2 linked regions of the Macaca fascicularis genome follow. The protein of the gene in region 1 purifies or fractionates together with the protein of each later gene. This does not show direct contact. Links are inferred from orthologs where the notes say so. Each region holds a gene or a part of one and is shown on either strand. Other genes may lie near its edges.

Region 1 (4,233 bases):
CAAGGAGAAAGCAGCCCCGTGAATAAATGAAGCATTTTAGAGACTGCCAGTTTCTGGGCGTGGGTCTGATGCCAGATTTAAAATCTTTATATAATTTTGGGGTAAAACTAGTGATTTAGCTGAAATTAATAGCACAATGGGAAACTGAACTAGGGTTGAACAATAACACAGCGGGACTTCAGACCTGTGGCTGGTAAAGAAGCCTCTCTCGTTCTCAGGGCGCCCCCTCGCGGCCTCTTGACTAAATCCTGACGGAATGTTCAGTTTCTGCAAATAAGAGAAAGACATCCCCCAAAGAGAAAGGCGGACTGCTGCCTACTGATGCAAATGCCTTTCACTCTAACCTAGTCTGTGGATCAGGCAGTTCGAAGAACGCCTGACAGGAAGTCCCACTGACGCTCAGAAAGGCATCTGCCATAAGACAAGGGTTCGTTCTTTAGAAGGGTCTGAGGCAGTGCCCCAGCATTTAGACTTTGGGGTCCCTTCACAGACCCCAGGCACACCCTTACCACTTCAACAACCCCTCATAGTCTCACATTCTCAACCTGCAACTCGAACTGCGTCTGTTTTTCATTATTCTGCTTCCCACCTTCCCAGTGCGATTCTTCAGCAGCTATTAAGACAACATGAGCAGGGAGCTAAGCTTAGTTTTTGCTTATTCAACATCCAGCCTGGGGAATATCACCTCAGAAGAAAAGCATGAATGAAGCGCACATGTCCCAGCCTCTTCTTCCACAAACCTGAAAATGCCTTCATCAGAGGCCACCCCTACAACCCGCCCCTGTAACAATTTCATCCTACAAAAATGGCACCTGCCCAGAGTGAATTCTCAACTACTTGCTTGCTGTAGAATTTATTACAGAGCTAGCTTTAAAAAGAAATGTACATCTCAAATTTCCAATTAATTGATAACAGATTTTTTTTTTTAAATAACGTTATGGGATGAAGTTATATAGACTCAAACACCGAATCTGAGAAATGGGTTGGGAGGACATTATCCAGATATCCAGATATTTGAGAATTTGGGGACTGAACTTTGCTGACTTGGCACCCCCATTTTTTTCACAGAACTGTCCCTGCCCAAATGCAAAAGAAACATGTCAATATTAAGCTGCTATTTGACAGCTCATTTTCCTTTTTTCCTGCAGTCATTTGTTGTTTATAAGCAACCCTGAGCCCCCAAAACACTCCCAAAAGTGCACACAAGAAGCCCCATAACTAGTTTCTGACTTTGGCCCTAAATCGATTAAAATACATCTGATCTGTTTCAAATCAAAGAACCATGTTAATTTTCTGCCACACACCACACAAAATCTTTCTGCAACAGTCAGTCACTTTGAACCCAACTCTCTAGCCACAAGCAGTGTGGATTTCAAGGGCCTGTTCTGCAGAAGTGAAAATAACAACAAACCAAGGCTGGGACAAGGCAGACAGACCCCAAGGCACTCAAAGCACTTCTTGTAGCTGTGCAAATGGTGCCAGGACCCTGGCAGGGTGTCAGCTGTCACAAGAGCAGCGGGGCCAGACCCCTTCAGCAGTTTGGTAGCCCTGCAACCAGGAGCTGAAACGCAATTGAGCCGGCTGCAACTAAGCACAGCTATCTGTGTAGCTACACATGCCTTGGACATTTCACTCCTCCCAAAGCCACAATGCAAACTGTTAGAATCCTCAGACTTGCAGTAGTCTTTATTTTTGCTCCCTAACCTTGTCTCAAAAACAGGCAGGAGTCGCCCTCCCTTGCAGCCACAGCATCATCAGGGCAATGCAGAGTCTGAGTGGGAGGATGCAGAGCAAGGGGCTGCGGGCAGATGGGTGCAAGGGGGTAGGGACACCTACAAAACACGGGACTTGAGGGGCTAAAAACACGGGACTTGAGGGGCTAGCTCCTAGCTGGGAATGTGGTTATTTGGAGAGTTGTGGAAATAAGGCATTTCGGGGCATGGTCTGAATGTGTGCCTGCGAGGGAGACCCCGGCCGTCCCAACGCTGCAAAATGTTTGCAAATCTAAAACATTCCTTTGCTGCTGGGATTAAATTTTTTAAAACAAACCAAAAAATAAAATAAAATATGTGCAGACAGGATGTAACAAGTGTTTCAGGACAGAGACACGCCTGAGTCACGGGGTGCTAGGGAAAGAGTGAGGAGTCTGTCTCGGGGCTTCCCAATGAGCCCCCTCTCTGTCAAGAGAGCCCTAGGGCGCACAGATCCCCGCCTCCCACGCCATCGGTCCCCAGCCCGTCCAGCCAGCTTCCCCCGCACCCTCCAGGATTGACCCACTCACCACTCGGCCCGAAAACCTCTCGGTGGCCCTCTTGACTTTGCCGTAGGTGCCTTTGCCCAGGGTCTCCTGCAGCTCGTAGCGGTGCTTCAAGTTGTGCTTGTGGTGATGCCGCTTCACCCCGTGAGGCTTCCTGGGCTCCGGGGCGGCCGCCGCCGCGGGGGCAGCAGTTGCCCCCGCCACCGCCTCTCGAGGAGAGCCCGGCGCCCCCAGCCCCAAGTCGGGGCGGTCCCCCGCCACGGGCGCGGCGGCCCCTTCCATGTCCAAGCGCGGGGCGAGCCGGGCTGCAGAGGGCAACACCGGGCACAGCGCTGGGTTGTCGTGGTCCCCACTAAGGGAAGCCGCGGTACGCTCAAGGTCGCCCCCGCAGCATCAGGGAGGCGGCCCGATACTGCTCGGGCTGCGGCTCGGTCACTGGCGGCGGCGGGGACTGCACATCTGGCGCCCGCGGCGCGCACGGTCCGCGCACCGCCCCCCGGCCGCGGCGAACTGTGGAGCTTCGGGCGAGGTGGCGGCGGTGGCAGGGGAGGCGGTGGTGTTTGCAGGAAGGAGGGGAGAGGGTGGCTCGGAGCGCAGGAGGGGGAGTGTTATGTGGGGCGCCGCGCCCCCCAACCCCTCCCCTGGAGGACGCGCAGACGGGGCGGGGGCGGGGGCGGGGACGGCGCTCGCGCTGCCCCGGGGGAGGGGGAGCGAGGGGCGGTGCAGCTAGGGCTTCCCCCACCTCCCTGCAGCCACCCCGGGCCGGGGCCGCCGTGAGCTGGGAGGGGGATGGGAGCGTGTCGCGACTCGCTCTTTGTGCGGCGCGGCGTAGGCCACGGCGGCGGCGGCGGCGGCCAGGGGGGCTTGGTCCTCGCTGGGCCGGAGGGGACCGGGAAATTCCAAGCTGGGCGCCCCCTCCCCGGGCGCTCTAGGGCTCGCCAGTCGCAGCTATCGCGGGCCCTCCGCCGCCTCGGGGCTCCGGCTCCGGCCGCTCGGCCTGGATTCCTGCTCGCGCCGGGACGGCGGTTGCGGCTGACCGAGCCCCGGGGCCAGGGAAGCTAGAGCGCCGCGAGCCGGGGGCCGCCGGGACCTGCTCGCCATCCGGCCGGGGGCGCCGCGGGCCCAGGCGCCCCTTCATTTTCTTGTAGGTGTCGCCGCGGCCTGGCGGCCGGAGCTGGGGGAGGGGGCAGGGAGGCCTGGTGTTGGGTTACAGGCGGTGACTCACGGACCTTGCCCGCCGAGGCTGGCACCCCGCGGGGCAGAGCTGCGCCCGCCTGGGGCACCTCCGAGTCCAGGAGAATCCCAAGAGCGGCGCTTTGGCCCCGGACCCCGCGCCCTCTCGGAAGAAAGGAGAGTCGGGGACGAGGGAGGCCGGGAGGCTGAACCCCGGGCCCGCCGTCGAACCGCCGGCCCTCGGACACTATCTGGACCCCGGCAGGGACAGCAGCCTGGAAGGGGAGGAAGGCCGGGGACGTGGAAGAGATGAGGTTCTAAAGGCGCTGAGATGGAGCTGGCTCCCCAGAGGCGCCCACACTGCCAGCGAAGGCCGCCATCGGAGGTGGGCAAACCAGGGACCTGGGGTGGACCAGGAACCCCGGCCTGCTGAGCAACCCCTTTGCTGAGCAGGAGGCGACTTGAAGGCCTCTTGCCTCCTTAGGCCTTGGAAGATTTCCTTTCACTGTAAGGGCCAGCCTGATCCTGGCGATGGTGACAGGAACGGTACCCCGCACGGTAAGGGTCAGGCAGGAAGGGCCTCCCACCGCGGTGTGACTGCCCCCCTTCTAAGAAGAGACCATGAAAAATAAGGAAGAAAGCTAGAGAAAAAGGTCTTGGGGAATTTTTTTTTTTTTTAAACAAATGGTGCAATATACCAGACTGGGGTGGGAAGAGTGAAGGCTGAAGAATATCTGGTGTTCTGCAAATCGCATGGCGATTCTTTTCCACCAGTGGACCTCACTGGAGCCTCCTCTGCAGCT
Region 2 (4,587 bases), on another chromosome or scaffold:
TCCCTCCAGAAATTCTCAGAAACTACCAAGGTCAGCAAACAAAAGAAACATGAGAACGTTGATAACCAGAATTACAAGTTACACGTTCATGCAAAAAAAAAAAAAAAAAAAATACAAGAAAAGCGGTAGAGATAATTAATATAGTCCAAATGTCCTATTTTTAAATTAGAGAAAACAAAACAGTAAAATACCAAAGACATTTTGAGTTCACCTGTGGAACACCAATTCCAAATACTTCAAGCTTTCACTCCACCCAAACGCTGGAACGATAAAGTTTAAAGGGTTAAAGTTAGATGTATGACACAGCACATTAGTTTAAAAATTGAGAAAAAGAATGTTGACATTTTTTATATTTAATATATAATTCTTCAAGAATTTGAAGGCATTTGCTGAAACCAAAATGGCAGCCCAGCGAATTAGAAGACCAGCGAGATCTAAAGGAGAGTTTGTAGTCTCTATTTTTAAGTTCAAGTGTACTAACCAGCCAAGCTAGTCATGGTGAAGGAGTTACCTAAGGGTAATTAGCTCCGAGAGGGTTAAGTACCTGCTGGAAAGTTTCCTAATCAATGCACCCCAAATTATTCCCCTCAAAAGTGAAAGTATACATACGTTAGGTAGATTCAGGGACTCATGGGTTTCCAGGTAAAAGAGCGGCACACACACTTCTCTCGCCGAAAAATAAAGTATGAATAATCTATACCTACAACTTGCTTAAACTAAAAGACAATCTGAAACAATTATATACACCTGTAAACTGCACCGTGTAAATTCAATTAACGTTATAACTATGGAACTTCCAAAAAATAACATGCTTAATTTAAGCAGGTTCTACTAGAAATTTTGCAAATTCTCGTGTAAGTTGTAGTCGCTACAGAAATCCACACAAATAATTGAAGAAGCCATCTATACACCTGCTCTATAACTCTTTAACTTATTTCACAATGAATGAAAAATCAGCCATTTATCCAACCCTAAGCCTCACGTCACAAGAATCTGAAGATCTGATCACTAATAAACTCGCACATGCTAATATTTGCAGAAACAGTTAAAAATAGAAAGATAATAGGTCCAAGCTAGCTTGGAAGCGATTTCTGCACTCAAAAACCCCTTTCACGGCTTTGGCCCTCTGCAAATTAAGCGGGGTTAAGGAAGTGTAGGAGGCCGATAACCCAGCTCCGACTCCAGGAGCCCAGGGCCGGGGAGAAACTGCGGGTTATCGCGGGAGGGTGGGGGGAGGCGGACAAGTCGTCAGGCCTGATAGCCAGGCGTAGCCGAGGCCTAGCTCCCCGACTCCAAATCACTCCACCTCAGTAATGGCGTTTGGTGTCAAGTGGAACCAGACCGGGCAGGAAAGCGGCCGCCGGGCCGGGGGCGGCCAGCCCCCAAACCGACCCGGGCCCCGGGTGCGGACGGCGGGGGGGCTGCCCGCCACGCCCGGAGACTCCATCCTCCTACTCGGCCCCAGACAGGACGGGAAGGGGGAGGAGGGGGAGGGACGGAGCCGTCAGCCATTTTCCCTTACAGTCCAAAACACACAAGACACGCTCTCGGGACACCGGCTCCACACACAACACGGCCCCGCGCGCCCGCCCAGCCCGGGCCGGAGGAGGGGGAACGGGGAAGCCCCGGCCCGGCCGGCAGCCGCCGAGGGAAGAAGCTCACACACACGCACACCCCCCTCGCCCTCCTCCCCTCACCCACATCCAGCTGTTGGCCCCGGGAAGGCGCGTCGCCCCGGTGCAGCTGGCCACTCACCGCACGACACAGACGTCTTCTCAGAACCAGGGCACGTGGAGGCGGGAGGCAGCAGGCGACGCTGGGGCTCGGTCTCGGGACAAGACCTACCCTGGGTGCATCCCAGGCCCGTGGGTGACCGGCAACAAAGTGTATTGAAAGGCTGCGGCGGCCGGGCTCGGGGCTGAGGGCGTCTCAACCAAAAGGCTGCACGCCCGGCGCCGGAACTCGCTTCTCGCCGCGCCCGCCTCCTCCTCCTCCTTGGCCGGCTACGGCCCTCTTCCCCCTTCTCCCCTCAGGCTGGGGCTCTCGCTGAGCTCAGACGGGCTCCGGGCGGTGCGTTTCTCCTGCGTCACCTCCTCCTGCTCCTCCTCCTGCAGCGACGGCTTCACCTTCCCCTAGTCGCCGCCTCTGTCCCCGTTCCGGGCCTGGTGGCTTTGCAGCAGCTCTCTCCTAGCTCCCGGCGCCGACCCAAGCACCGGGCGCTAAGGCGGCCGCCTCCCGCGAGAGAGAGGCGGCGGCGGAGGGCTCCCGCGAGGCCCGGGAGCTATGCAAGGCGGGGAGGGGCTCGGCGCGGCAGAGGCCCTGACGGGGCCGGGTGCGGAGAGGTTGCGGCTCCGGCGGCGGCGGAGACTAGCGTCCGCAGCCGCGGATGCCCGTCCTCGTCAATATGGCGGATCCGGCAAACCAAAAAAAAAAAAAAAACCGCTCGGCCAGTGGCGGCGGCGGTAGCGGCGACGGCGGCGGCAGCAGCGGTGGCGGCGGCGGCGCAGACTCCCACTAGCCCCAGAGCCGCCCAAGACCCGAAGTTCTCCGCCCCCGTCAGACCCCGCCCCTCTCAGGCCCCTCCTTTCGGGCCTCCCCCTGCTCCTGCCCAGCCCCCTCCCGCTCAGCTGCCCCCTCTTCTCCCGCCTCCACCCCGGACCGTCAAGGCTGGGAGAGCAGCGCGAGCCGCCGAGGGGGCCGGGCTTGGGCGCGAGCCGCTGGGAACCCGGAGAGCTAGGGTGGGGGAGGGGAAGACAATGCGGTAAAGATTGTTCGCGCAGTACCGTTTCTTCCGGCTGGCCCCTTCAGGGTCGTGCTACCGCCAGAAATCCTGTTCCATGCCCCTCGGCTCAGGAGCGGGACGAGGGCAGAGGTGGCTCTAGGACCGAAGTTGGGGAAGGGAGGCCCGAAAAGATCTGGCACACCACGCCGGAGGGGCTGGGCGGCAGGGACTGGCGGGGTGTGCGGTCACGACGGGGTTAATCGCGTGAGCCGCAGCCGCGTCGCTCATAGTTTGACTCTGGCCGCTTGTTTTTGTTCCATTGTGAACCGTGGCCCCACCGACAAGAACCCGGATGATGACGTCACCGGCCTCCCCCTTTTCCGGGATCGTGGGGGGAGGGGCGCGGAAAGATGAGATCCCGAGACCACGCGCTGGGCTGTCGCCGCCGCGGTGCCTGGAGGTCCCGGCGGCGCAGCTGACCCGCGTCACGTGACGCACGAGCTGGCCGGGCCACTGGGCTGCGGGGGCGCGAGGTCCCGAGGGCCTGGCCACCTGCTTGGCGCCGATAGGGGGAAGGTGTGGCTATCTCCTGCAGCGGAAGGAGGGGGCGTGGGGAGTGAGGTCCTTTTCCCCACCCCGCGAGGGAGGTGCTCTGGGAAACACTTTCACACGATCGCGCAGCATCAGTACTTGAAAGCGTTTAGGCGTCCTCACAGCGTAACTGACGGGACTGACAACCTTGTTGGCTATAGGAGCCCTTCAAACAGACCAGGAAAGAAAAAAATTATAAAGTACCCCAGACGGCTTAGCGAATAGGCCGTACTTGATATGGCAAGATTAGCCTCCATTGCCAGATCATCAGCACGATTCGGTGTTAGAACCCGGAAGAAACTTATGAACCCATCCGCTGTGTCATGGACTATTTTCTACATGTTTATATTCCAAAGTGCAGGCGTAGGAAAAACTTAGGCTAATCTCAAATTAATGGGGTGCTTGGAACAATTCTATACAGTCTGCCTAGGATGCCCAAATGAAGAGGAAATTAACAGTTCCTAATTTACAGATTTCCTTTTGACTTAAAACTACCTGTGGACATCAAATGGCATGCAAAATCATAGTAAAACCTTACAAAACGAGATTTTATAGAGAACAGGGTTGAATTTAGTTATGCTATGATTATATCAGTTTGTAATAAAAGACTGTTAAAAATGGAACCAAACTAATTTAGGTGACAGTGAAAGCAAGTTATTGGTATCTTAAATTTTTAAACCATTTCTCTATTTAGCACTAGATTGTTTACAAATTTTTCACCACAAAATTACCTAATAGGGTATCCAAGATACATCATTCATAGCCCTAATAACTCTTAGCATATGTTACCTTGTTTTTGTAATTATTTCCATGAATCATTTGCTTACCCACTAGCTCATGGGCTTCTAAAAAGTAGACACGACCACCCGTGTACACTGTAGGCTGTTATCTTCGATTTTAGATAAGGAAACAGAAAGGGTAAATGATTTGCCCAAGGTCAGGATTGGAAAGTGTTGAACACTGGTCTTTTAACCCTATCAAAAGTGCACCTTTAACAAGGATTGTCCCCTCTCACCAATTCTGTTCAATATTGTACTTGCAGTTCTAGCCTGAAAAAGAAATGAAAGACATCCAGATAAGAAAGGAACAATTAAACTATCGCTACTTTCACATGACATGATTTTATATATAGAAAATCTTGGGAAATCCACTATAAAAAAAACCTAATAAAGCCAATAAGCAAGTTCTGGAAACTGCAGGATATAAGATCAATATTTAAACATCAGTTATAGTTTTACACACTAGCAATAAACAATCTGAAAATTAAGTTAAAA

Evidence for each region.
Region 2: the proteins of NUAK1 (region 1) and USP9X purify together in Homo sapiens (affinity purification with mass spectrometry; 4 studies listed by BioGRID and IntAct, with this or other methods). This does not show direct contact. The link is inferred for Macaca fascicularis from reciprocal best matches to the Homo sapiens genes NUAK1 and USP9X.

The regions. Positions count from the first base shown.
Region 1 is NC_088385.1:113,055,005-113,059,237, forward strand, and holds the start of NUAK1 (NUAK family SNF1-like kinase 1), read right to left. Parts: upstream 2,844-4,233; 5' UTR 2,540-2,843; coding exon 2,282-2,539; intron 1-2,281. UniProt on the Homo sapiens protein: Serine/threonine-protein kinase involved in various processes such as cell adhesion, regulation of cell ploidy and senescence, cell proliferation and tumor progression. Phosphorylates ATM, CASP6, LATS1, PPP1R12A and p53/TP53.
Region 2 is NC_088395.1:41,066,964-41,071,550, reverse strand, and holds the start of USP9X (ubiquitin carboxyl-terminal hydrolase 9X), read right to left. Parts: upstream 3,065-4,587; 5' UTR 2,784-3,064; intron 2,517-2,783; exon of another isoform or gene 1,756-2,516; intron 1-1,755.